Notamacropus eugenii: one gene and its partners. The protein of the gene in region 3 purifies or fractionates together with the protein of the main gene of each other region. This does not show direct contact. Links are inferred from orthologs where the notes say so. Each region holds a gene or a part of one and is shown on either strand. Other genes may lie near its edges. The genes, in order: ARID1B, DPF2 and BCL7C.

Region 1 (7,883 bases), on a different chromosome or scaffold from region 3:
GCTACATCTTCAAGATCAAAACTGATTAAACTAAATGCTCTGATATAAAAATCTTCTGTGATACATCTCAGTTTACTAAGAGTAAAAAGTGTACTGCTTTAACATTAACACATTCTCAAAAAGTATTTCCTTATTAAAATTCTACTTCTCTAAAATTAAAGTTCATGATAACAGCAATGCACAGAACATACAGTCACCAAGGCCGTTTTTTTCCTTAAGGCAAACGGTATGTTATTTCTGTAGATGTTCATTTCATCCTCCCATTTATGAATATTAGTCCTTATCCTTTAAACTTCTAACAGTATTCAACTTTGCATCTGCTAGTAGTACTGCTCAGTTATTATTTGTTGCAAGAATTTTTGTGACTGTACTGCTCAGCACTTCTATTTACATCAGCAGTGCTAAATGCCCAATGGTGAGAGGGGAGCCAATCAGATGGCAGATTAGATGTCAACTCAGAGGCAGCTGTCTGGAGACTATTACAGCCAGTTTACCTCCACAATTCAAATTCCAAACCTTGCAAAGGAGATCAAGTCAGTCTTTAGACTCAGTCTGCTAGCAAGAACAGTAAGTGTGCAGGACGCTCCCTAATCAACCTATGTGATTTGGCTGTTGGGGGAAAAAAAACCACCCTCCCCAAAAGGAAACCCATATAAACAGGCTCCAAAATGATGATCTGATAGCTTATCATTATATTAAGCACATCAAATATCTGTATATTCAATGATCCAAACAAGTACGACTCATGAGAAATTTAGCCCTTTGAGGTCAGCATGTCATTTAAAATGACAGGTTTCAAGAAGCCTATGTAACAAACTGTGGATTTGGCTATTTATGTTATGTAACATAAAATATTTTAATCTATTCCACATCCACCTAGTTGAAATCTGGAATGTGTGTTACCAAACATTCCAACTCAAAATGAAATCAAAAGCAACTCCACGCTAATCATGTAAGGTGTTCGTAACTATAAGAAACGCTTCGATTGTCAAAAAACAAACCTCTTTTTCTCACAATTTCCAACTTTTAGCCTCATGAGCAAACCAAGGCTAATGTGGGCAAACAAGTCAGAAAGAAAGAACTGTTCATGCTTTACCGGATCAAAGCATTTAATAGACCAGCTTAGTCAAGATCCACTTTTAGAATTTACTGGCTTTTAAAAACACTATGGGTTACAAAAGCGCTTCCAGTCGTCCCCACAGCCTTCTGCAGCCTGCTGGTTTCTTGCCATTTTTATAATACGAAGCTAAAGGGGTGAAATAGCGTGTTCATCAATTGTGTAAATAAAATAGCTGTTATTTCCTCAGCGATGCCCCCGAACTAGCCGGAGCCAGACACGGTGTTACCCAACATTTTCTGGTGAGGCAGCTAGGAGTTAAAATGGCTTTGGGAATCTACCCCCGCCTCCCTCCCGGGGGGGAGGGGGGGAAGAGAGAGGGGAAAAAAGTAAATGAGAAAGAAACTAACTAAAGCTCGCCTACGGGTTGAGGGGTGTCTCGAGCCCTAGGAGAAGGCCCTGGTTTTTTCGAGTAGTTACCTGGGATCTGTTCATGGTCTGTCCAGTGTTTCCAGGGCTCATAGCTGGATGATTTCTTTGTTGTGCCGCTGCCCAGCCGGGGTTTGCAGTTCCATACTGGGAGCCCAGATCTTTGCCCATGCCCATGCCCGCCGCTGCCTGCTGGCTTCCTGGAGCTGCCCCCGCCGCTCCCTGCGCCTGGGACTGCTGCTGGCCTGGGGCATTAGGGTTGCCGCTGTAATCGGGGTAGCTGCTGCTGTAGCTCCTCATCATGGGGCTCGGGGAAGTCAGCAGCTGATTGAGGGTCGGCGTGGCCCCCGAAGGGTGCTGGTTCTGCCCGGCGAAGCGCTGAAAGCCTCCCGCGGCAGAACTGGCAGCGGCGGCGGCGGCGGCAGCCTTGCCCAGGCTAGCAGCCCCGCCGCCGCCGCCGCCGCCGCCTCCGCCGCCTCCTCCGCCGCCGCCGCCGCCTCCCGGGCCCATCATCATGCTGCTGCCCTGCTGCCGGGGGGAGCTCAGCACCCCGTAGCCCGAGGACGAGCCCCCATAGCCGCCGCCGCCGCCGCCTCCCGCTGCTGCTGCTGCTGCCGCCGCTGCGGCCGCCGCCGCCACTGCTCCTGCTCCCGCTCCTGCTCCTCCTCCTCCTCCTCCTACTCCACTACCTCCTCCTCCTCCTCCTCCTCCTCCTCCTCCTCCTCCTCCTCCTCCAGCACCGCCGCCGCCGCCGCCGCCACCTCCTCCTCCGCCTCCCGCGCCGGGCCGACCGTAGCCGGGATAATGGTTGTACTGGCTGTTGGGGTAGCCTTCGTGGGAGTTTTGCAAGGGGTCCATGCTGTTGGGGGGCCCGGCGGCGGCGACGGCCGGGTGCATCATCCCCATCCCGGGGCTTTGTTGTCCGCCATGTTGATCAAAGCAAGGCCCGGCTCGGCTGCCTGTGCCGCCGCTCGCAGGGGGAGCGCTGCCATAGTAATTATTAAACTCCGAGACCCCCACCGAGGCGGAGGGGCCGCCGCCGCCGCCGCTGCCGAGGCTACCATTGCCGCCGCCGCCGCCGCCGCTGCCGTTCCCGGTGCTTTGGGGCGGCTGCTGCTGCTGCTGCTGCTGCTGCTGTGGCTGCTGCTGCTGGTGCTGCTGCTGCGACGGCGGCGGCGGCGGCGGCTGCTGCTGCTGCGCGCCCAAAGCTCCCAGGCTGGGGTGCTCGTACCGGCCGCCCATCTGCTCCCCCATTTTGGTCGGGAGCTCTTCCTCCTCTCCCGCCTTGCTCAGCAGCTGCCGCGCTTGGGGCTCGGCCTGATTTCCCAAAACCCCGTCTTTGCCTCCTCCATGTTGCTGGGGCTCCATGTCCGGACTGGGCTGAGCAGCAGCCGCCGCCGCCGCCGCGACAGCAGCAGCAGCAGCAGCAGCGCCGCTGCCCCCCGCTCCGTGGCCGCTGCCCCCCGCTCCGTGGCCGCCGCCGCCGACCGCGACGAGGCTGTGGTTGTTGTTGGAGATGGGCTGCTGCTGCTGCTGCTGCTGCTGGAAGTGACTTAGCTGCTGCTGTAATGCGTGGTGGTGGTGGTGGAGGAGATGGTGAGGATGGTGGTGGTGGTGGTGGTGGTGGGCATGGTGGTGGTGCTGCTGGTGGTGGGGAGGTGCGGCGGGGGCATCGCCGACGTTTTTCAGTTTGTGGTTGGGGAGCAGCCCCGTCTCCATGGCCGGGGCGGACGAAGAGGAGGAGGCACCGGAGGAGGAGGAGGAGGAGGAGGAGAAGACCGCGGCGTTGCCACCTTCCTTGAGGGCCGCCTCGGACGAGCCGCCGCCGCCGCTGCTGCCGCCGCCGCCGCCGCTCTTCGTGTTATTATTACTGGCAGCCGCGGCGGCGGCGGCGGCGGCAGAGCTCGCGTTATTGGCCATGTTCAGTTCATTATGGTGGTGCAGGGGATGGGGAGCTACGTTATTCAAGCCGCCGCCGCCGGGCCCATCGCCGCCGACCCCTAGCATGGATCCCGGTCCCGCCGCTCCGGCTCCCCCCCGCGGGAGATCCTGGGTCAAGTGAGCCGGCCACGGACGCAGAGCGGGGCGCCCCGATCACTGTGCTCCGCACCCGCCGGGGCTGATGCTACTCGCGCGGCCATGATCATTGCAACATCGCGAGTCCAATGTGCCCCCCCGACCCCCCCCCACCCCCCCGAACAAAACAAAAATAAAACAAAAGAAAGGGGAGGGGGAGAGAGAGAGGGGAAGGGAGAAAACAAGGAAGACACTTTTTTAATAAACAGCCGCTCTCGGTCTCCAGTCCACATACCCCCAAAGAAAATAAAAACATCCCCCCTTTACCCTCCCCCTTCCCCCCCGCCCCAAGTCCTGGACCGAGATTAGAAACGATAATAATATCTTACGGTCTATGCCTGTTCTTGCTGTGGGATTTCATGTTGAAAGTTTTTAGCTGAGGTTTAAATGAAACTTTTTTTCTTTTCCTCTCTAACCCGGATATGGGTAAATACACGTCTGACTGAGCCTATCTGGCCCAGCATGGCATGAGAGAGAGCGGAGAGAGCCCGAACAACTATTATCCACTTCTCTCTGATTACCGCCGCGCACTCGCAAAACGCGGACTGGACTTCCCCCTCCCCCTCCGGCACGGTCCCCGGCGCTCCCCGCGGAGCTCCAGCTACCTTCTCCCGTCAGCTCGGGCGGCTCGAGCGGCGGCGCGCGGCGGAGACTCCCGGCGCAGGCACGGACGGGGCAGGCTTTCCGAGCGAGCTCCGCAGCCGCTCCTAACGCCACGGCGCGGGGCCGGAGGGGCCTGCACTCTCCCCTTCTGCATCTGTTTCCCTGCCAACTAGGCATTAATGTGTTTGTTTTCATGTTTAAAAGGAACGATACAAAGGTGGAAAACGGGTCTGACTGGCGGACAAAAGAAGGAGACGGATTGGGGAACAAAGTTGTCTGTCTGGCTCAAAGGTTACACCGCGCTGACTAAAAATAAAAATATTTGGGCAGTCGGGGGGGGGGGGGGAGCGTTAGCTATTTCAGAATTCATTATGTAATTTGCAGGCTGTTAACCCGTTATGCATTGGTCTGAAGTCAGGCAACATGATTGCTACAACTTTACTCAAGCTACGAAATAAGGTGGATTCGTGAATTTTCTGCAGGTTTGCAATGGGGTGCCGTATTTTTATTTTAGAAGAGCGTAGTATATACAGCTCCGTCCAAAACGGATAGTGCTGTGTATGCAGTAAGCGCTCAATAAATGTTTAATTACCAATGTCCACATCTGCCCCAAAGATTTTATTATTAACATAATCTTTGTTTATGGGTCATCTTAGTACATTTGTATGCAAAGCTATCAACAAAAAATAAAAGTTCCTTTCTTGTGCCCATGTGGGGACGTAGGCACACAAATACACGTGTAGGTTTATGTGCATTTCCATTTTACATGCATGTGTTTCCTTGTGTACGCATGTCACATCCGTGTTCCCCATGTGCATACGTATGTATGCATACATGCATGTGTTGTTTTCCGTATACACGGCTGTTTCCCTAGATATATGGGTTGTATGTGCACTCTTGTGTATATACACATGTATACATATATTATTTCCATAATACACATATTGCTGTTCACAAGAACAAACTCCCAAATCTGAAATAGTTTTAGAAAGAAATTTATTAGGTCGTATCTGTATTTCTCCTAGGCACTTTTTATCTCCACTCCTTAAAGGGAAATAATTTTAAAGTTGTGTTGTGTTGTGTGATCCAAACCACTTTTAGAAGAAAGTTTAACTGCCAGTCATAACTGCACCAGCTTGCGCTCATCCTCAATCAGAACACCTCTGTGACACCTTTCATCATGTTTCCAAAGAGAATGTGTAAAATAATCAGCTTTAATATCAATTCCCTGCTCAATGATGTGAAACAAGAGTTATTTTTACAGAGAAGCAAAATCAGACGGCAGTGAGTTTCTATTAAGAAGATCATCTAAACACAGATTAATACAAATGTTTCATACCCTGTTCTCAGGAAAATGACCATAATTGTTTTATAGGATGGGAATAATCTGAATATCGTGACACTGATGTAAGAAACAGCACAACTGTACTAAGGCACTGGTAGGAAGTGTTTAAAACTACAAGTTTCATTAGGTAATATAAAATTATACTACTCTAAAACTAGCAATAAATACCATGTAACCACCATGGAACGTTTCTTTGAATTTCTCTTTCTGCCTTAAAAAATATGAGCGTACTTCACCATTCCGTAGGATTTACCTATCATAAGATCCCTAATTCTTCAACTGTGCATAAAAGTATTCCAGTTTATTTCAACTACACTAGTTATTTTTGTTTGTTTGACCAAGTGTAACTATGTTACATGACTAATAGAAAACGATAGGGTGGAAAAAATTGGTGAGTAATTGTGAGGGAGGGGGGAGTCAGGTGCATACCCAAGGGTCATTATAGACTGTAGAAACAACAAATTGCAATTCTATGCAAACCACTGGAAAGGGGGAGGTATATCATCTTGTAGAAGAGAGAACAGCAGAACTGTAAGGTGAATTCATGCCAAATCATTCTTCAGCTTTTGCCAAGAGAATACTACATCTTTGTTACTGTGCCTTTTTGACATATTTTCCTGGATTTTCTTTTCTATATTCAAGTACATACTAATTATACACATTACACTGTAAGCTGAATTTTTAAGTCTTTCATATGCAAATATAAATATATGTTCTATGTATGTGTTTATATGCATACATATATTCAAAAAATCCATTACATATTTATATTTTTAGACATTTGGGCTCACACCAGAGATATGTACATATAATCATTTTTTATGTTAAAAATATGATAAAATGTATCAAAATAAATCCAAATTATATTACCCATGCTTTGTGGCTTGTTTTCATAACTAACGCTGAGGGAAAATGAGTCACAAAGTTACTATTGACTCTTTTCTGGGAGTGGGGGGAGCATTTATTTCATGTAGACAAATTGTGAAACTGGGGGGGGAAATCAAGAAGTTTGTAGTTTTAAGTTGTTTTAATTCCATTTGCTTCAGCGAGTCAACTAGAAGATTGGAACCAGGAGGCTATAAAATAGAGGCCCTCAGCACAATGAAATCGGTCTGCTATAAAAGGCAACACATGCCAGTTTTTCCTCCCCAATGGCAGATGCCACACCCAAAGCAGACAGAAGGCACTGCAGTCTGTGTAAGTGAAGCCCCACACAAAGCATTGAGGACTCAGTTTTGTCTCAGAACAGGAAGAATTTGCTGATACCTTTTCAGCATCCTTGCTGAAATGAGGAGAAAGTCTATGAACCTGTGGGTTCAGCTTGGGCTTTTCAAATGCACTTTTCCAGGAAAACAAAGTAAAAATCTCTTGTCTTCATTAAGAAATCTAGTATCTTAATAAACAAACTAGGATTACCACCAATCTGTTAGAAAGCAACAAAATCGTATCGTAAAGTCCACCAAGGCACAATCACAACTTGGTTTTGTAATTTATGCCGCCTCTTTTTCCTTAATTTGCTTGCAGTCATGGTATATTCTTCACCCTAGTTTCTTTTCTACAAACTGAAGCAGTGGTAAGCACTGCGTTCATTTTTCTACCAAATCCCTTGCCTATACCACATTCTGCCTAAATTCATGCCCGCAAGAAACACTTTACCAATTCATTGCAAAACAACTAATATGACACCAAAAAATGAAAACAGCACCAAAACCCATTATGCTTCAATTTCGGGTCCTTCAATACGTCCTTCCCAGCTTCAGGTCCCAGCATTTCTCATTTAAGTGAAGGTACTGCCCATTATTTTGTTATTATTTATATTTTATTACAAACTTATTTTTACTTATGATACAGAAAAAACTAATCTTCAAATACTGCTCCTTTGGAATCAGTTTAAGGACATTGCCTAAAGCATTCTTTAATTTGCCTCCATAAAGAACATTTGGGCCAGATGGTAGTTTTAGAATTTCAAAACTATTCTTTTAATGTTGTTAGTACCCCCTTAACTATTCTCGTTGGTTTCTGATTAGTCCCTTTTTGCTATGTTGTTTGGTTTTTCAATGACTCTATATATTCACTACCCCTCGTATTTTTGTACGTAATTGGGAGCTATTTGAAATTATATATAGGAATTATTTTTTTAAAAGAGAAAAAGAAAGCTTTGGAAACTCTCTTTCCTCACAGATTGATGAAAAATTTCAGTGAATGGAGCTTATGGTATTTCCCTACCAATAATAATCAGGAAGGTTTTTGTTTTCTTTTGTTTTTTTAACAATTTTCATGTTTTTAACAATTGCCTTTTTCACTTATAATCAATGAGTACACATGAATACAGGATGTTTCAGCTGTTTTATATCAGCCATGCAACTTAGGAGT
Region 2 (7,883 bases), on a different chromosome or scaffold from region 3:
CGCACACAGGAGCAGCAGCTACAGCATAAGTCCAACAAGGAGAGAAGTCTCCGAGTGGGGGGGCGCTTGGAGGGACAGAAATGGGGGGGAGGCAGGAGAAAGAAGAGAAAACAGAAAGGAAGAGAAAGAAATTTGCATTAAAAACCTCACGGGGGAGGGGGCTCCAGGACCACCAGGCCCCCATGCGGTCAGCTAGACACCTCCCAGCATCCTGGAGGGCTGGGGGCAGAACTCAGGATGACAGCCTACAGGCCAAGGTCAATGCCTTCTTCCCTCCCTCCCCCCACCCATCAGGGGGGCTGCTCCACCCACCTGACCCCCCCCCCCCCAAGAGGTGGAGGCACTCACTGTCACATGCATAGGGCTTATCCCGATCCTCCAGGATAGTGGCATCCAGCTTCTTTCGAGCGTTGCTCACCCCTTTGCCCTGCCAATGGGAATAAGGGAGATCTCAGGTCCTGGGGAGCTAAGCTGCCCTTGGGGAAGCGGAGAATCTCCCCACACTTGGCGTATGCTCCCCTCTCCCTGTGAGGAGCAGGGAGGCACCTGATACACCCTGTTGGTCATCTCCCCTTCTCCCAGCTCACCTTGGCTTTGCCCTTGCCCCGGCGCTTGGGTGTGTCTTCCTCATAGTCCTCATCATCCAGATCATCCAGAAAGTCCTCAGGCTCCAGGATCCGCTGAGGGAAGGGGAAGATAAGGATGGGTGGGGAGAGGAGCAAGGATGCTCACAGCATCTGTGGGGAGGGGGCGCCATCCAGACAGGCATGGCACATGCCCCCCTGCCCATTCTCAGCTGTTACTCTGCCAATGGGAGGCAAACGTAACTGGGAAGCTTCTCGTTCCTTTCCCAGGGTTCCCACTGAATTTGGGGAAAGCCTGAAGTTGACAGAATGCATTTTTCTTAGACACTTCAGGGAATGACATGGCCTGCCCCTCTCCCACTCCGAAAGTCCATCTGGCTGGTTTAACCCAGGCTGCTCCAGCATCCTTCCAATGAGGGGTCCCTTGTCCCTGTGAGGTCCCTCCGTTGGTACCTTCCTCGCCCTGCTGTTAGTAACTGGGAACTCTCCCAGGCTGTCATCATCCGCCTGAGGATTGGGGGCACCCCGCTTCTCAAGGGGGTCGGTGCGCAGTAGGGCCTCCAAGCTGCTCCCATCCTGGGAGATAAGTCCTTCCTTCTTCAGGGTCTGGTCTGTGTCTGGAAGGAGAGCGAGGCTACACTGAGATATGGATGGGCACAGGTAGTCATGCCCATTGGAAGGAAAGGGCCCTCATTCACCTCTGACCCCCCAACTTCCCAGGATCCCACAGTCTCCAGGTTTCCCCTTTCAGTCTGTCTCTTAGCCCCAGAAACTGACCATGGCACTACTTGAAGAGGAATACTGCCCCTACCTGGCTTGATGGATGGGAAGGTGAGTCGGGGGTCTTCAGGAGGGTGGGCTCGGCGCTTTTTTCGCCAACGCCGGGCAGGATAAGAGTACAACTGCCCTGAGGCCAGCCCTGTGAGAGATGATCGGGGTCAGTAACCTGAGAAGGAGAATGCCTTCTGGACCAGGAGATGCCCGCTCACTCTGAGGCTGGGGTAAATGTTGTGGAGGCAGGGAAGAGATTCCAGACAACAGGTAAGACTGTTGGAAATTGGGTGGGGAAAGATGGAAGCACAAAAAAGAAAAAAGAAAGTGAAGGGGAACCAGGTGCTGTCTGTCAACAGACTAGGGAGAACAAAGGAAGCCAGAAGGGCTGCCTGTCCTTCTGCTTCCCTGGGCCTCCCATCAGCCCAAGCTAGAAGCTGTGTGCTCAGCGGGCTGGCCCTCACCTGGCCCCCGGTGCCGCTTTTCCATCCAGATGTAACAGTTGCTCTGGGCCACTCCAGTCTGGGAGTCGAGGAAGGGCAGGCGCACGCTGCGTTCGGCGCAGAGGCGGGCGTTGTAATTGTGGCACTGTTCCATGGCATCTCGGTAGTACTGCTCCCCCAGGCTGTAGGGGGACAGGAGGGGCTTCAAGGGAAGGCTCAGAAAGCTGTCTGGGACCCTTTTGACCTGTCTGTTCCCTCTTCTACCTTAGAGGACACCAGCTGAGCCAAGTCAAATGTCACCAAGAGGAATCAAGCTGGGCCCCAGGGGCCTCTGGGTGTCCTGGCTGGGAAGGCCCAGAACATAAACCACCTCAAACCCCACACCATGATCTGATGAGCTCTCAATAATTTGGTGCTTTGAGCAACTGGGAAAAATCCCCACCCCCAAACCAAAACAAACAGAAAGGCAGCAGCAGAAATGCCACCAGCCCAGCTTAATTCAATGAGCTGTAATTACTGTAATTTGAGGTAGGCCTCTTATGTGAGGAGGAGGCAATGGGTCCATATTAGCTGGCTTTCAGAAATCGGCCTCCACATTCTCACCATCAGAGAATAAAATTGGATAAACAAGGCTAAAGAGCGCAGTTCCTTTGTTTCCACTGATGGGAATTGAGAGTGACGTTCAGAAAGAAATGGAAGGTGAGCAGGGAGATCCTGGAGCCTTCAGGTTGTGTGGGTACCTCAGGCATACACCAGGAGGTGGGCCACACAGCTTTTTAAAGAACACTATGTATTTGGGAAAGGGCAGAGAACATGGCTCCTAATGAGTTGGGGGACAGGGGAGGGAGAACTCAGCAAGGGATCCCTGGACAGAGAAGGGTCAGATCCTGTTAAGCAGCTAAGAGAGAGATGGGTGTTTGGGGACAATGGGTGCTACCCTTACGAAGAGATCTCCTTTTCATTTCTTATGCCAGGGAGAGAGAGTCCCAGCTCAGGAGCCCATCACAAATAAAGCCCAGAAGTGTCCTGTTTGTCAAATTAAGACTAAACTGTCAGATAACTAAGTACTCCCCCCCAAACAAAAACCAAAACAAACCAGCCTGGTGATAGCATGGCAAGGGGACAACAGCTGCTTCTCTGGGTGGGGATCAGGAACAGGAAAAAGAAGGTGGAGTTCCCTTCCTTGGAAGAGAAGCCTGGTCAATAGACTTTGACTGTCATCAGCAGCCCCCAGCAGGGGGCTAAGCAGGTACTAAGGAGGAGGTGGATGGCTCCCCATTGCCAGGGTGCCAGGGTATCAGGAACCCCAACCCCACCCCCCAAGACTACCTCAGAGGTGAGATGGAGAAACCAAGGCCTGTCTCAGGAGATACCCTGCCAACCCCCTGAACCCCACCTGAAGGTGCCTGCTGCCACCCATCCAAAACAGGCCTACCCCAAGAAACTTCCCTTTTTTAGCTTTTCTTTCCCTCTTGCCTTCTTTCCATGCTCCCCTTGGGATCTAGAAGAGTCAGCTTTTCTCAGAACAACTGGATTTCCCTCTACGTCAGTATAAAATCGGTGAAACTGCCTCTGGGCCCTGTGGGGTGCTGGGTACAAACCCAAGGAAAAGGATGGAAAAGGGGGGAGAGAACCTTTGTGTCAGGAAGGACAGAGTGGGAGATTAGCATGATCCTCTCTGAACTGAGGGAAATGCCAGCCTGAGGAGAGACTGGGGAAAAGGAGTGGGCACATCAGAGAGGATGATGATGGAGTGGGATGGGTGGGTGGCTGAGCAGAAAGGAAGCCTGCCGCCCCCTCCAACTAACCCAGGAGAGGGAGGGCACCCAGCTGAATGGCAGTGGGCATGCTCTCCCTCATCAAAAAGGCTCCCGTCCAGGGAGCAGCTTGCAGCCTACCATAAAGCAAGGACAGAGGCCTGAGAACCCTGGAAAAACCCTCTCTTCCAACTCCCTGCACCCGCTTAAAAAGGAACAGCTGGAAATCTAGCTGGCACCTAGAGAACAGGAGTTCTGCTGACCCACTCCTGGGCGAGGTGGAGTGAATTCAAGGCCCACTTCATGCTAAGCTCCCAGGTAAGATGCCAAGGCCACGCCACCTTTCACGGCTGCCCGCACTTCTGAGATGCCTCTACCCCTGGCCAACGGCATGAAGCAAGCTCCTCAGGATTCAAGGAAGAGCCCCTGGCCTGCCCCCTGGGAACAGGAGGATCCTGCCATACGGCCGGCCCTCCTTCCTTTCTTCAGGTGGGTCAGGCCCAAGAGCTGCAGCCTTCCCTGGCACCCGGTTTCAGCATTCATTCCAGAACCCCAAGCAGGGGGGACCCCCTTTGTATTTAAAACTCCCCTATTGGGTGAACAGGTGCCCCTTTCCTTCCTTCCCAAAGCGCATCCTGTGGCTCTGCGTCTGGCCGGGGGTGTTCGTGCCAGGCCCACCTCCTGAGGACCCCGTAGGGCAGCCCAGGCCGCCCCCCGGGGGTCCTCCCCAATCCCCCGAGGACGAGCCTCAGCACCGGGCAGGGACTGTGGAGGGCGGGGGCGCCCGTCCAGGCCCCGCTCTGTGCCTCAGTTTCCCCATCTGTCAAATGGGACGTGGGACCGTGGTTGTCTCTAGGATCCCTCCCGCTGACTCTCTCCGTGACCTTGGCCCTGGCACTGCCCGCGTGCCTCAGTTTACTTCCTCGGTCAGGCGAGACGACCCCCCCTTTAAGGTCCCTTTCCAGGCGCCGGAGCTCGGGCCTCAGTTTCCCCCTCGGGGGCGCGCCTGGCTGGAGCGGGGCCCCGCGCGCGCCCCCGCTGGAAGTGCTCGCGCCCGCAGCTGCCACGCGCCCCGGCCCGGCGCCCAACGGCCTCGTCCGGGCCCGGCCGCCCCGCGCCCGCCCCGGCGGCGTCTCCGCGCACGCCGCCGCCACGCCCCCCTCCGCGGCCCCGGGCCCGCCCCCCCCGCCCGCCCCGGCTCTGAAGAGACGGCGGTCGCCACTCACAGCTTCACTACATTCTCCACCACGGCCGCCATCTTCCCTCCTCCTCTCCCTCAGCCCGGGAGCCCCCGGGGTCGGAGTGCGCAGGCGCCCAGCCCGAAGCGCGTGCCCGCGCGTCCGCACGCTCCCCGCTCCCGCCCCCGCGGCGACCCCAGCGCGCAGGCGTGCAGAGAGGAGGACAAGGCTGCCAGCGCGCAAGCGCCGGGGCCGGAGAGCGCGCCCGCACCGCGGCGCAGCGCGCAGGCGCCGATTCCGAAGGCCTGACGCGCTCCACCCCGCCTTCCCCAAAGCTCCAAACAGAAGCTCTCTCCGTCTCCTCCGCCTCCACGTAGAAGCCGGCTCGTAGTTCCCTGCTCCAACGCGCAGGCGCCAAAAAGGTCGGCCATCTTTCCCACTTCCCCAACCCCCCCCGCCCCCGCCGCCCCAGCTCCATCGCGCAAGCGCGGTAATTTTCCCATTAGCAGGAGCCGAGCCAGTACCGGGTAGGAGGGAACAGAACCAAGCCAGTGCGCACGCGCGGTTTGAGCCTGTGACTCCAGGAAAGCGACAAAAGCCTTGGGACTGCAGTGAGTCCCTTGCCTCGGGCCGGGGGGGCCCTTTTCCCCTTCACCTCCAGCGTCCTCTGGGGGCTCCTCAATTGTGGAAGGGACCCCCAGGGTGGGAGCGAGGAGGGGAAAGTAGCTGCAACTGAAAACAGTAACTCAAACCTAAACTTTTTCCTTTGCCGTGGGCAGCCAGCATTTATTAAACGCCTACTGTTTACCGGGCACCTGCTAACCTGGGCATATCCAGAAGGGCAAAAACCGGTCTGCCCCCTGAGGACCGCCCTGCCTCCCATTTTTCCGCCCAGGAATTCGCGGGAACAGGCTCGTATACAAACATACAAAGTTGCCCTTATTTTAAAAGTTACATTGTATCTCCTTTGCAACTTTGTATCCATGCCTGTTTTCTTCCATTTTCACACGGATTTCATTTCCAAACATGACCATGAAGATAATGGTAGTGGAACAAACAGGCTTCCGGGGGGGAGGAGGGGGGAAGATTTGCACAAACACTTTTAAGTTAAATCTGATTATTAACACTTTTAAAATGTAGTCAATTAAGAAACCAACGACAAATCAAGCGCTGATTTGTAGGGATTGCCGGTTTCTGAGGTGTAAGAATTCACCTGCCTTGCCGGCTCTGTTAACAGAGAATTAGAAGGAAAGAAAAGAAAACGGTTTAGCCAAGCTATCCATGCACCAGCTTGTGTCTGGCAGGAGCTGCAATATTCTACACTCATAGTCTCGTCAAAATCACTTCGATCCAATTCACCTGCATGTCATAGCATCACCTCCCTGATGTCATGGTCCTCTTCAAGAACAAAGGACAACAACATTGTTGTTAATCAGTTCAAACCCTCTTTTATTTATTTATTTATTTTCAAGGCAATGGGGGTTAAATGACTTGTCCAGGGTTACACAACTAGGAAGTGTCAAGCGTCTTAAGCAGGATTTGAACTCAGATCCTCCTGACTCCAGGGCTGGTGCTCTATCCACTGCACCACCTAACTGCCCTAAACCTCTGATTTATAATTTTTTAATATCGAAAAAATTCCCAAAGTTAAAAAATTTTATTGATGCTCAGTGGAGAGAGCACTCATTGACCTTGCGGTCACAGGACCAGAGATGAAATCCTAGAAATAATTTACCACACAAGTGAACCTTGGTAAATCTCTTAATGGTGACTTCTCTGGGCCTCAGTTTCCTCAGCTATAAAATGAGTATTTGAAGCCAGATGACTCCTAAGTTTCCTTTCAGGCCTAGATCTAGAAGTATAAATTTTTGCTGACTCTAACCCACTTTCAAGCTCAGGGTGATTGGATTTGATGCCCTCTGACCATCTTTCTGCAATGCTGCTGAGGGCTAACTTGTTCATCCCCACCCTCTGCCTCTGACTTTGCTTCTCTACTTTGGATTCTGACTAGGTAGATCAGGGTAGGGAGGGACCCCTAGACACACCCCAGTAGTCTCTGGTCAGGTTTCTGCCATAGGTATCATCCCTTCCCTAAGCTATGACTTTTACCTCTTGTTCCACTAAAATCCCACCTTCTACCTGAAGGCTTCTAGATGCGCCTTTAATGCCATTGTCTTCTTTGTTGGTTCATAGTTGTCTGCACATCATCTCCCCCATGAGACAGTACACCCCTTAATAGCAGGGGCTGTAGCATCCTCAGCACTTAGCACAGTACCTGGCATCGTTTGGTATGTGCTTAATAAAGTTTATTAATTGACTGTGCTGGGAAAAATAATCAATCCATACTCTGCTATTCCTCAAAAGGATGAACTCCTCCATTGTTTGTACCATCCTGAAACTTCCCAGATCCAAATGACACTCTCTGGGCTGCCGCTTTCCTTATTAGGATGGAGGAACCGAGGAACCAAGTAGCAGGAGGCCTCACAGCCAGTATTCCAGGGTCCCAATCCCCCACCTTCCCTAAGCAGATCTGGAAAATGTGCCAGATCTAATCTGGATGGAGAAATCCATGAAAAAAAATCATATTGAGTTGTTTTGCCAGCCCAATTTGGTCTAGGAAAATAGACAGAAAGGGATCTGGCCAGAAGCCCTCCAGTGTTGTGGACCAGGGTGAAAGGAGGTCAGACCCACCCCTGAGTGGCAGGAGAGGAACAGGTGCCAACACTAATCAGTTCCAGGTCTAAGATCAAGGTGGATGGAGGAGGAGACCTGTTCTCAGGGATGGCATTCTGGGGTAAGGAGCAGCTGAGGAGGGCCTGAGTTGATGTACATAGAGGCAAGCTTAGATGCCATCAGCAGCAGCAGTAGTATGGCTCAGATCTCAGAAGAAGAGCAGGATCTCAGTTCCAGCTTCTTGCCCAGCCTATGGAAGAGTAACCAGGGCAGGAAACTCAGTCTAAAGAGGAGCCTATAATTCTATCACTCTGAACGCACAGAGTGTTCCAGCTGACTGGTAGGGGCTGGTTCCAGCAGCATCTACTGATGCTCAGACCCAAACCGTGGTCAGGAACTTATAGAGCTCAGACTTGGGCTGGGCTGAGGAGGACAACGATTAGATTTTGCTTTGGATTAGACCACTTTGGGAGCACT
Region 3 (7,883 bases):
CAAGAACTATGGGACAGAGCCCCCTGTGCCCCAGAAACAGAGATCTACTTTAAAAGCCAGGAAAAGGGTGACCATCATAAGAAGCAAAGCAGAAAAGACCATAGAATCTTTCTATGGGGATAAGGACCAAAACATGAATATCAAAGAGGTCAGCATTGAGACTGTACTCCCATCTGAAACTTCAGAAGGGAATATGAACTGGTCTCAAGACCAAAGAGTATTCTTGGAACAACTCAGGAAGAATTTTAAAAGTCAAATTAGAGAAGGAGAAGAAAAACTGGACAATGATTTTAAAAATATGAAAAAAGAACTGACTGAAGAGAACAGGTCTTTAAAAAGAAAATTGGAAAAATGGAAAAGGAAGCATAAAACCTAATTGGGAAAACTGAACAAATGGAAAAGGAAGTACAAAAACTAACTGGAAAAAGTAACTCTTTAAAAGGAACAATTGGACAGATGGAAAAGGAGGTGCAAAAGTTAACTGAAGAAAACAATTTTATAAAAGAGGCATACTGAAGGGAAGGTCTAGATTAGTTGAAATTGATAGGCATGAAATAGTAGAATATAAATAAAAACATTTTTAAATGCACAGAACAAAAAAAATACCGAAGGGATATAGTGATTTTGTTACTACCTTGTTAAGTGTAATATGTATTTCTTTAAGCTACATAACAAATTCAAAGTTTCTTATATGATTTCATTCTTTCTATTTCGAAATGTTTATGTTGGTGACTAAGTTCATAATTTAAAGAAATGTTTAAAAATATCAAAAGGGGAACTTGCACAGAGGAGGATTTAAGTTGTAATAGAAGAAGGAAAGAAAATGGAAAAGAAAGGGTAGAAGGGAGAGCACAAGAGGAGAAGCGAGAAGAACCCTAATACTTATAGGACCCAGCACACAGTCTATCTTCTCATTCTCCTCTTCCTCATTTCCCTTCTCCAATAGGAGAAATATGGATATTTATGGATGTCTGGTGTCCACTTTTCCTTGCATCGTTAGGACAGCGCGGGTTCCTGAGTTAATGAATGGGCGGCAGAACCTTGGTGTGCTAACTGAAATGAGAGGATACTTGGCTACAAAAGGTTCTTTATTTGTAAAAAGCCAGGGAGGACACAACAGTTTATGGATCAGCTTTTTAGGCTCAAGGATCTGGGGGGAGCGGACTGCCTTCAGGGGCATCTGGACAGATACGCTTGAGAGGGGGTGCCCCCTCTGAGTCTTCAGTTTCCCCCACAGCTGCCTCAGGCACAGGGGGCACTGGTTCAAAGACTGGGTAAGCTTCAGGAACCTGGAGAGGAGGAACTGGGGATAAGTTCTCCTAGATCCCAAGGATCTTGCCCGCCCCCTCCAACCCCCAGTCCTTCCACATCCCTCATTCCCTACCGCTCCAAAGTCCAGCCTCCTCCAGCCTTTCTCACCTCTGCCTCCAATAACTCAGGCACAGGTTCTTCCTTAGTGAGCATTGGGGGTTCATCTGTCCCACCCATAGTCACACCCCCTGGATCTGGAATAACAAGAAAGCAGGTTACCCCAGGGAACAAGGAGCTAAAGATCACAGTGGGAAGCCAATGGAGGAGTTGTTTAGTTCTTACCTCTTTCCTGGCCCAGTCTTGGGGGCTGAACATCTTCAGAAGTCCCATCTGGTGGAGCAGCAGGTGAGGCTGGTCTGCTAGGCTGAGGCGTTCCCCCTGGGCTGGGCTCTGTGCCCTTCTGCAGGGAGCCCTCTGAGTGGAAGCTCTGATTGCTGTTCTCATCTGCTGGGAAAAGAGGCTGGGAGGGGTGGGCCTTGGGGTGCCTCTGCTTCCTCTACCTTAGGATCTCTTCTCCCTTCCCCCAACCTAAGACTTCCATTCTCCCACCCTCCAGACACCCCTACATACCACTGAGGTCAAGCAAGATGAGGGGACCACCCCCTCTTGGACTGGCTCCCCGACCCCTCCGTTCCCTGACTCGGGGCCTGTCAGCCCCACTTCCTGCCCGTCGACGTTCCTACAGAAAGGAAAAGGAGCAAGGTAGTTCGAGAGTGGTAGAGAAAAGATGAATGAATTAGTTGGGAGAGGGAGCAGGAAAGTTTCCCAAGAAAGGGAAAAGAGTCAGATCCTGAAGGAATTCAGCTCTTTTCAACAAACATTCATTAGGTACCTCCAGTGTTCTGGGAATTGTGCTAAGGTATGGAGGGAATAAAAAAAATTTTAATTGGAGACCAGCCCTCCAGGAGCTGCCCAGTTAAGGAAATGGGACACATGTAACATAATCCAAAGGAATATATAATCAATTCATTGCATACTTGTAAAGATTATTTTATGGGTTTGGGGAGAGGGAGAGTGCAGCTGTTACTGATAAAGCCAGGGAAGCTTTATGGTAGAGGTAATATTTGAGTTAGGCTTTTAAAATGGGTAAAAATTCAACAGGTGAGAAGGGGATGGAGACATTTTCAGGTGCAAGAAATTGGGGACAGAAAGCAATCTACTTTGGCTTAAGCGGTCAGTGAAGATGGAGGAAAGCTGTAGGGGGAAGTGTGCAAAGCTGGGTGATGCCTAGCTGTGGAGGGCCTTGAATGCCAGGCAAAAGAGCTTCGACCTTCAATGGATAGACAACAACAAGAAACCGTGGAAGATTTTGGGCAATGGAGTGGCATGACAAGATATGGCAAGCTGAGGGGTGGGGGTGGGGTGGGAAACATCTGGTAGCAATATGAAGGATAGATTTAGAGGCTATTGCAATAACCTAGGTGGATAATAATGAGAGCCTGCACTAGGGTGGTAGCAAGTAGAAATAGAAAGGAAAGTACAGATGCAAATGTTACTGCAGTGAAAAGATTCAGCAGAGCTTAGTAACATATAGGATATGAGAGTGAAGAATCCAATGTTTAGGGGAGACTGGGATACATGGTAGTGACACTGAAAAAAGACCAAGTAAAGGGGGGGAATCTGGTTTGGGGGAAAAGACTGATAATGTTACAAAGAAAAGAAAGAAAGGGAATAGTGGAGAAGGCAGTATGTCATAAGGGAAATAGAATTCTCTCACCTCCTCATGTGGGTCCACCACAGGCACCCACTTGTAGATACGGAGGGAAGTGTCTCCCACTGTCACCCAGCGTTTCTCCCTAGGGGTGATCCACAGAGCCAGGTCATGCAGAGCCAGAGATTCTCTCTCTCTCTCTCTCTCTCTCTCTCTCTGTCTCTCTTTCTCTCTCACTCTGTCTCTCTCTCTCTCACACACACACACACACACATCTCACCAACACATAAAAACACACAGTTCTATGGCACAGCTATCTTTGGAGAAGGGAAAAACAGCAGTCTAATTGGGATGGACCTAGATATCCAAAGCTTTGGAGGGTGGTCTGTCTGAAACCTTCATCCCACTGCTCTCACTCCATGTTATTACCCCACATCCCTTCCCTTCCTCCCTGTCTCAAACCCAAGCCTTCCAGTCCCTGGGCCTCCATTCTCACCATCTCCGGACCTTTTCGATGGTTGCCATCACCTTCTTGATGTCATCCTTGGCCCGGCTCCTGGTCTCAGCCCTCACCGTCCGGCCCGCCATGAGAACTGAGGTGTCGCTTCTCCCGAGGCCCACCTGGCTTGCACTAGGGATGCTTCCTGGACTCCCCAGACACCTCTGTCTGGGTCACTTGGTGCCCTTCTCCCCTGGAGCTCCCTCTCTGCCTTACTCAGTTCTCTCTTCCTCCTAAGCTATCCCTTTCTCCCCCTACCCCTTGCTCACTGGCTTCCTGTTTCCCCACTTCTCAATCTCCTCGTCGGTTTGATTCACTCCCTCTCTTTCTTTCCCTCTTGGTTTTCCATCCTGTCTTCCTGCTTTTAAAAACAAAAATGTTTTTTCTTTGCTCTCCTCCCTTCCCAGTGCTGTCTGTCGTCTTCGCTTTTCTCTGTGAGTCACTCTTCCTGCCTCCCTCACTGTCTCTCTTTCCCTTTCTTCGGCTCCCTGTCGTCAGTGTCTGTCTCCTTCCCTGTCACTTCTTTCTGGCTTCTCCTCTAAGCCCGCCCCTGCCCCAGCCGCCTTTTAGTTCTGCTCTGGCTTGGGGATTTCCCTGCTGCAGCCAGGAAACCAAGGAGCAGTAGTCCCCTGGACCAGACCCTCCGCCCCCTGTGCTGAGTTGTTTCCCCGCCCACTCTGGCTCCCCCACAGCGCCCCCTGCTCTCCAGAGACAGGACCAGGGCCTGGCCGTAGAGGCAGGGCCAGGGCTAGGGGCAGGGGGAAGGGGAGGTCCCTACTCGATTTCGTTTTAAGTTCCTTTGACTGCCCCCTTGTGCCTGTGGAGTTTCAGCCTCTATGTGCATGTGCGTGTATATGTGTATCAGTTGGCGATTATGTATCACTGTGGGCATTAATGCAATTGTATCAAACTGGGGTACTTGTATATCTTCTTCCCTAGCATGTTTGTGAAAGTCCTTCAGGAAACATGTCTCTCACTCTGCACAGCATCTGTGGGTGCTGGTTTAAGAGTCAGCAAGTGGGGTTGTGCCGTGGATCTAAGTGTTTGTGGATACCACTGTTTCATTCCTGGGCAGGCGCCCATAATATATCAGATATCCTTTTAAAATGTGTCTGTCTATCAGTTTGCTTTACTGTCTAATTGGTGAGATTGAGATGTGACTATCTGTTCAAGAATATGGTAGTAGATCTCTTGGTGTGTGTCTGCACATCCCTGTGACTATAATACATTTCCGGTGCCACCTTCTCCAACAACCTCGCAAATCTTTTCCCCTTCCTCCATCCACCCCCCAACTCCTGGGGGTAGTTCACTTGGTGTATCCCCAGGAAAGCTATCCAGTAGGTACATTCTTTGAATTCCAGGCATGCCAGTTCCCTCCCTGAACCCAGGAGTCCTCCTCTTCCTTCCCCCCAACCCCCACCCCAACTCCTAGCTTCTTTCCTCTCAACTGCCCTCTCAGAACTCTGACAGTCCCTGCCCCTTTGCTGTCTGGGTGACCTCATCAGCAAGGTGACAGTTCTCAATCCAATTCCTAGACTAGGAGAAAAGTTGAAGCTCTCTGGGAGGGAGCGCCCCAAGATCCTTATGGTTTTTATCTTCCCAAGACCTATATTCTCGCTCCCAGGCCTTTCTCCGCTCCTCAGGGCAGGGCTAAAAGGTGAGCTCAGGGCCCTGGAATCTGGGCTTGGGGTGAGGTGGGGGGAGTTTGGGGGTGGCCCCTGATTGGTTGATAGTGGACCACGCCCCCTACCCCCCTTTTCCCTCCCTTCTTCTTCTCTCTGGGAAGGGGAGGAGGGGGCATGTAGGGAACCGGGACCAGCCAGGGGACGGAGGGGGCCAACATGAGCCAGAGGGAGGGAAACAAGGGTAAGGGACTTCTGGGACTTGGAAAAATTGGGTCTAGAAGAGAAAGCTGGGAACTGGGCAAGACTGCAGGTTAATAGGAGGAGCAGGGTTCAGTCCTACAAGTTAGGTGCCTGGGGCTGTAATGTAATGTTTGTGTTCTGAAAAGGACAGCTTAGTGGCTAAACAGCCAAATGGATGGATTCTGAGAAAGGAAAGGGATCTGATTAAGAAAATGGGGAAGGACTTGGAGGAGGAAACTAAAAGGATAGGACTTGAAGTGGAAGTGGGGCTGTGGAAGTGAGATGTGGGCTCACCTTAACAACTTATATGTTGAAGAGGGGCAAAGAGTGTGGGGTTGAGAGTCTTTGGCAAAAATACCAGCCTCTGGCTGAAGTCTCATAGTTTGAATAGAGCAGGATGGTCAATTAATGACTGGGAGTGGGGGGGGGGGGCTGGGGGGGAGGGAAAGGAAGGAGATCGAGGTGGGGGAGGGTAGAATGCAAGGAAGCTCTTTGCTCTTTATAAAGGAGAACCAGAGCTAATTGATAAGCTACTCGAGTACTCAAGAGAGATAGGGTCTTGGGAAGAAAGTTGACGAGTGTGTGTGTGTGTGTGTGTGTGTGTGTGTGTGTGTGTGTGTGTGTGTGTGTGCGTGCGTGTGTGTGCGCGCGCGCGCGCGCGTGTGTGTGTGTGTGTGTGTGTGTGTGTGTGACAGAGAGAGAGAGAGAAAGAGAGAGAAAGAGAGAGAGAGAGAGAGAGAGAGAGAGAGAGCTGAACAGCAAAAGATGTGGTGATAGGTCTTTGGGGCCAGACATGGGTTAAAGAACTTGGTCACCTTTGCATGTCGCTTCCTTCTTACTAGTCCTCCCCCTACAATATTAAGCACCATGTGCCTAGCATCTGCCTAAGTTCTTTGCATCCTGGGAAATGTAGTTTTCTCCTAGTCAAGAGTAAAGTGAAGCCAGAATGTGTAGTCAAGTGTTTTCTATACCTGAGGTCTATGAACTTGTTTTGTTTTAATTTTTTGATAACTTTTGATATAATTAATTATCCATTTTATTGTATGAATTTAAAGATGTAATTCTGAGTAGGGGTCCATAGATTTTACCAGGCTGCCAAAAGAGTATGACATACAAAAAAGTTAGGAACTCCTGTCCTAGCATCTCCCCTTCTTGTCTTTGGTGATGTATACAGTGGGACTAGGTTATAAACTGTTAAGAATTAAAATTTTCTAATCCCTTAAGTAACTGAACTCCCAATTCAGAGGAGTCTAAGGCCAATTCAAGTTATTAATCAGTCAACTTGTCAGGATTTGAAACTGTAGTTGGTATTATCAAAGGGTACTCCAGGTATTATAACACATAATCACCTAGGAATTGTGATTATCTGCAATATAGTCATTCAAGTCTCCTGTCCAGGCCCCACACCTCCTTGCTTCCCTACCTCCAGCTCCTGTAGATCAATTTCTTCTTTCAGATAATTAGGGTAGGGGAAGATAGGACTACAGCCCCAATTGGTATAAGGTGAGAATGTGGAATCAAGCCACCAATAAGACACTAAAAATAGTATGTTATGGGAAGAAGGGAGATCTGTTATGTCAGGGGACCTGGGTTTTGATTCCTCCTCATCCTCCCCTGTCCCCTCCAGTGGACTTACAGTCCCATTCGGCCTCATCTTTCTCCCACCTTGAGGCCAAGATCCGTCAGACCCACAGTCTTGCAAGACTCCTCACTAGCTATGCTGAGCAGCTGCTTCAGGAATATGTGAGTACAGAGGTGGGAGGTGGTGGGGTGGAAAAGGGGATGGGGAAGAATGGGAAAGATTACTCTATACCCTTTGAATTATTCCATTTTAGGGGCAAGCCCTGGGAAGACCATCTAATCCAGCCCCACTATTACACAGAAGAAGAAGCTGAGAAGTGGATAGGACTTGCCCAGGGTCACACAGTGAATCAATGTTAGAAGTAGGATTAGAATCCAGGACCACGGATTCTCATTCTAGAGTTCTTGACAACAGACCAACCTTGGCTTTGTCTTAAAGGGTAGGCAGCTTCAGAATTAGAAATAAGAAAGATGAGAACTCATTCCCACATATGTAGAGGAAAATCCACCTCCTGTCAGCTTTCCATTCAGATCAAGCTGTTAATCACCAAAAGCTTTATGTTTCCATTGCCTAGCAGGCTCCCTTCCATCCCCCACCCTATCCCCCCACCCCCACCCCCCCTCCCACCTCACCCTCACCAGCCTTCTCTGACAAGCCGATGAGTGCTGATGAGACAGAAACATTAATACTGGCACAAATGAAACTGGTAGAAGGTAGGAGGGAAGTTTATGCCATGCATCGAAATTCAAATCCCCATGACCCATAGGCTATTGACTGTTAGATTATTACTGTTTAATACTATCTCTGCTACAGGACCTCCCCACTAACACTGGCTTGGAAAAACTACAGTGCAAGTGACAAAGTTCTATTTCTGTTTTTTTATACTTGTGTGACCTTGGGCAACTTATGCCTCAGTTCTATACCTCAGTTTCCTATAAAAATATTCCAGATTCTGTGATTCTAATTGGGATCCAA

What was found.
Region 1: the proteins of BCL7C (region 3) and ARID1B purify together in Homo sapiens (affinity purification with mass spectrometry; 4 studies listed by BioGRID and IntAct, counting the BioPlex papers as one, with this or other methods). This does not show direct contact. The link is inferred for Notamacropus eugenii from reciprocal best matches to the Homo sapiens genes BCL7C and ARID1B.
Region 2: the proteins of BCL7C (region 3) and DPF2 purify together in Homo sapiens (affinity purification with mass spectrometry; 4 studies listed by BioGRID and IntAct, counting the BioPlex papers as one, with this or other methods). This does not show direct contact. The link is inferred for Notamacropus eugenii from reciprocal best matches to the Homo sapiens genes BCL7C and DPF2.

The regions. Positions count from the first base shown.
Region 1 is NC_092873.1:250,120,757-250,128,639, reverse strand, and holds the start of ARID1B (AT-rich interactive domain-containing protein 1B), read right to left. Parts: upstream 4,144-7,883; 5' UTR 3,892-4,143; intron 3,612-3,891; 5' UTR 3,494-3,611; coding exon 1,538-3,493; intron 1-1,537. UniProt on the Homo sapiens protein: Involved in transcriptional activation and repression of select genes by chromatin remodeling (alteration of DNA-nucleosome topology).
Region 2 is NC_092873.1:18,132,436-18,140,318, reverse strand, and holds the start of DPF2 (zinc finger protein ubi-d4), read right to left. Parts: upstream 4,887-7,883; 5' UTR 4,814-4,886; coding exon 4,782-4,813; intron 4,623-4,781; exon of another isoform or gene 4,440-4,622; intron 3,935-4,439; exon of another isoform or gene 3,795-3,934; intron 3,388-3,794; exon of another isoform or gene 3,286-3,387; coding exon of another isoform or gene 3,275-3,285; intron 1,981-3,274; coding exon 1,820-1,980; intron 1,504-1,819; coding exon 1,396-1,503; intron 1,202-1,395; coding exon 1,038-1,201; intron 681-1,037; coding exon 588-680; intron 428-587; coding exon 349-427; intron 1-348. UniProt on the Homo sapiens protein: Plays an active role in transcriptional regulation by binding modified histones H3 and H4. Is a negative regulator of myeloid differentiation of hematopoietic progenitor cells. Might also have a role in the development and maturation of lymphoid cells.
Region 3 is NC_092874.1:377,801,819-377,809,701, reverse strand, and holds BCL7C (B-cell CLL/lymphoma 7 protein family member C), read right to left. Parts: upstream 4,105-7,883; 5' UTR 3,551-4,104; coding exon 3,459-3,550; intron 3,108-3,458; coding exon 3,029-3,107; intron 1,991-3,028; coding exon 1,882-1,990; intron 1,759-1,881; coding exon 1,594-1,758; intron 1,506-1,593; coding exon 1,420-1,505; intron 1,290-1,419; coding exon 1,143-1,289; 3' UTR 1,071-1,142; downstream 1-1,070. Other genes in the region: CTF1 (cardiotrophin-1), read left to right, coding at 5,046-5,118, 6,954-7,069. UniProt on the Homo sapiens protein: May play an anti-apoptotic role.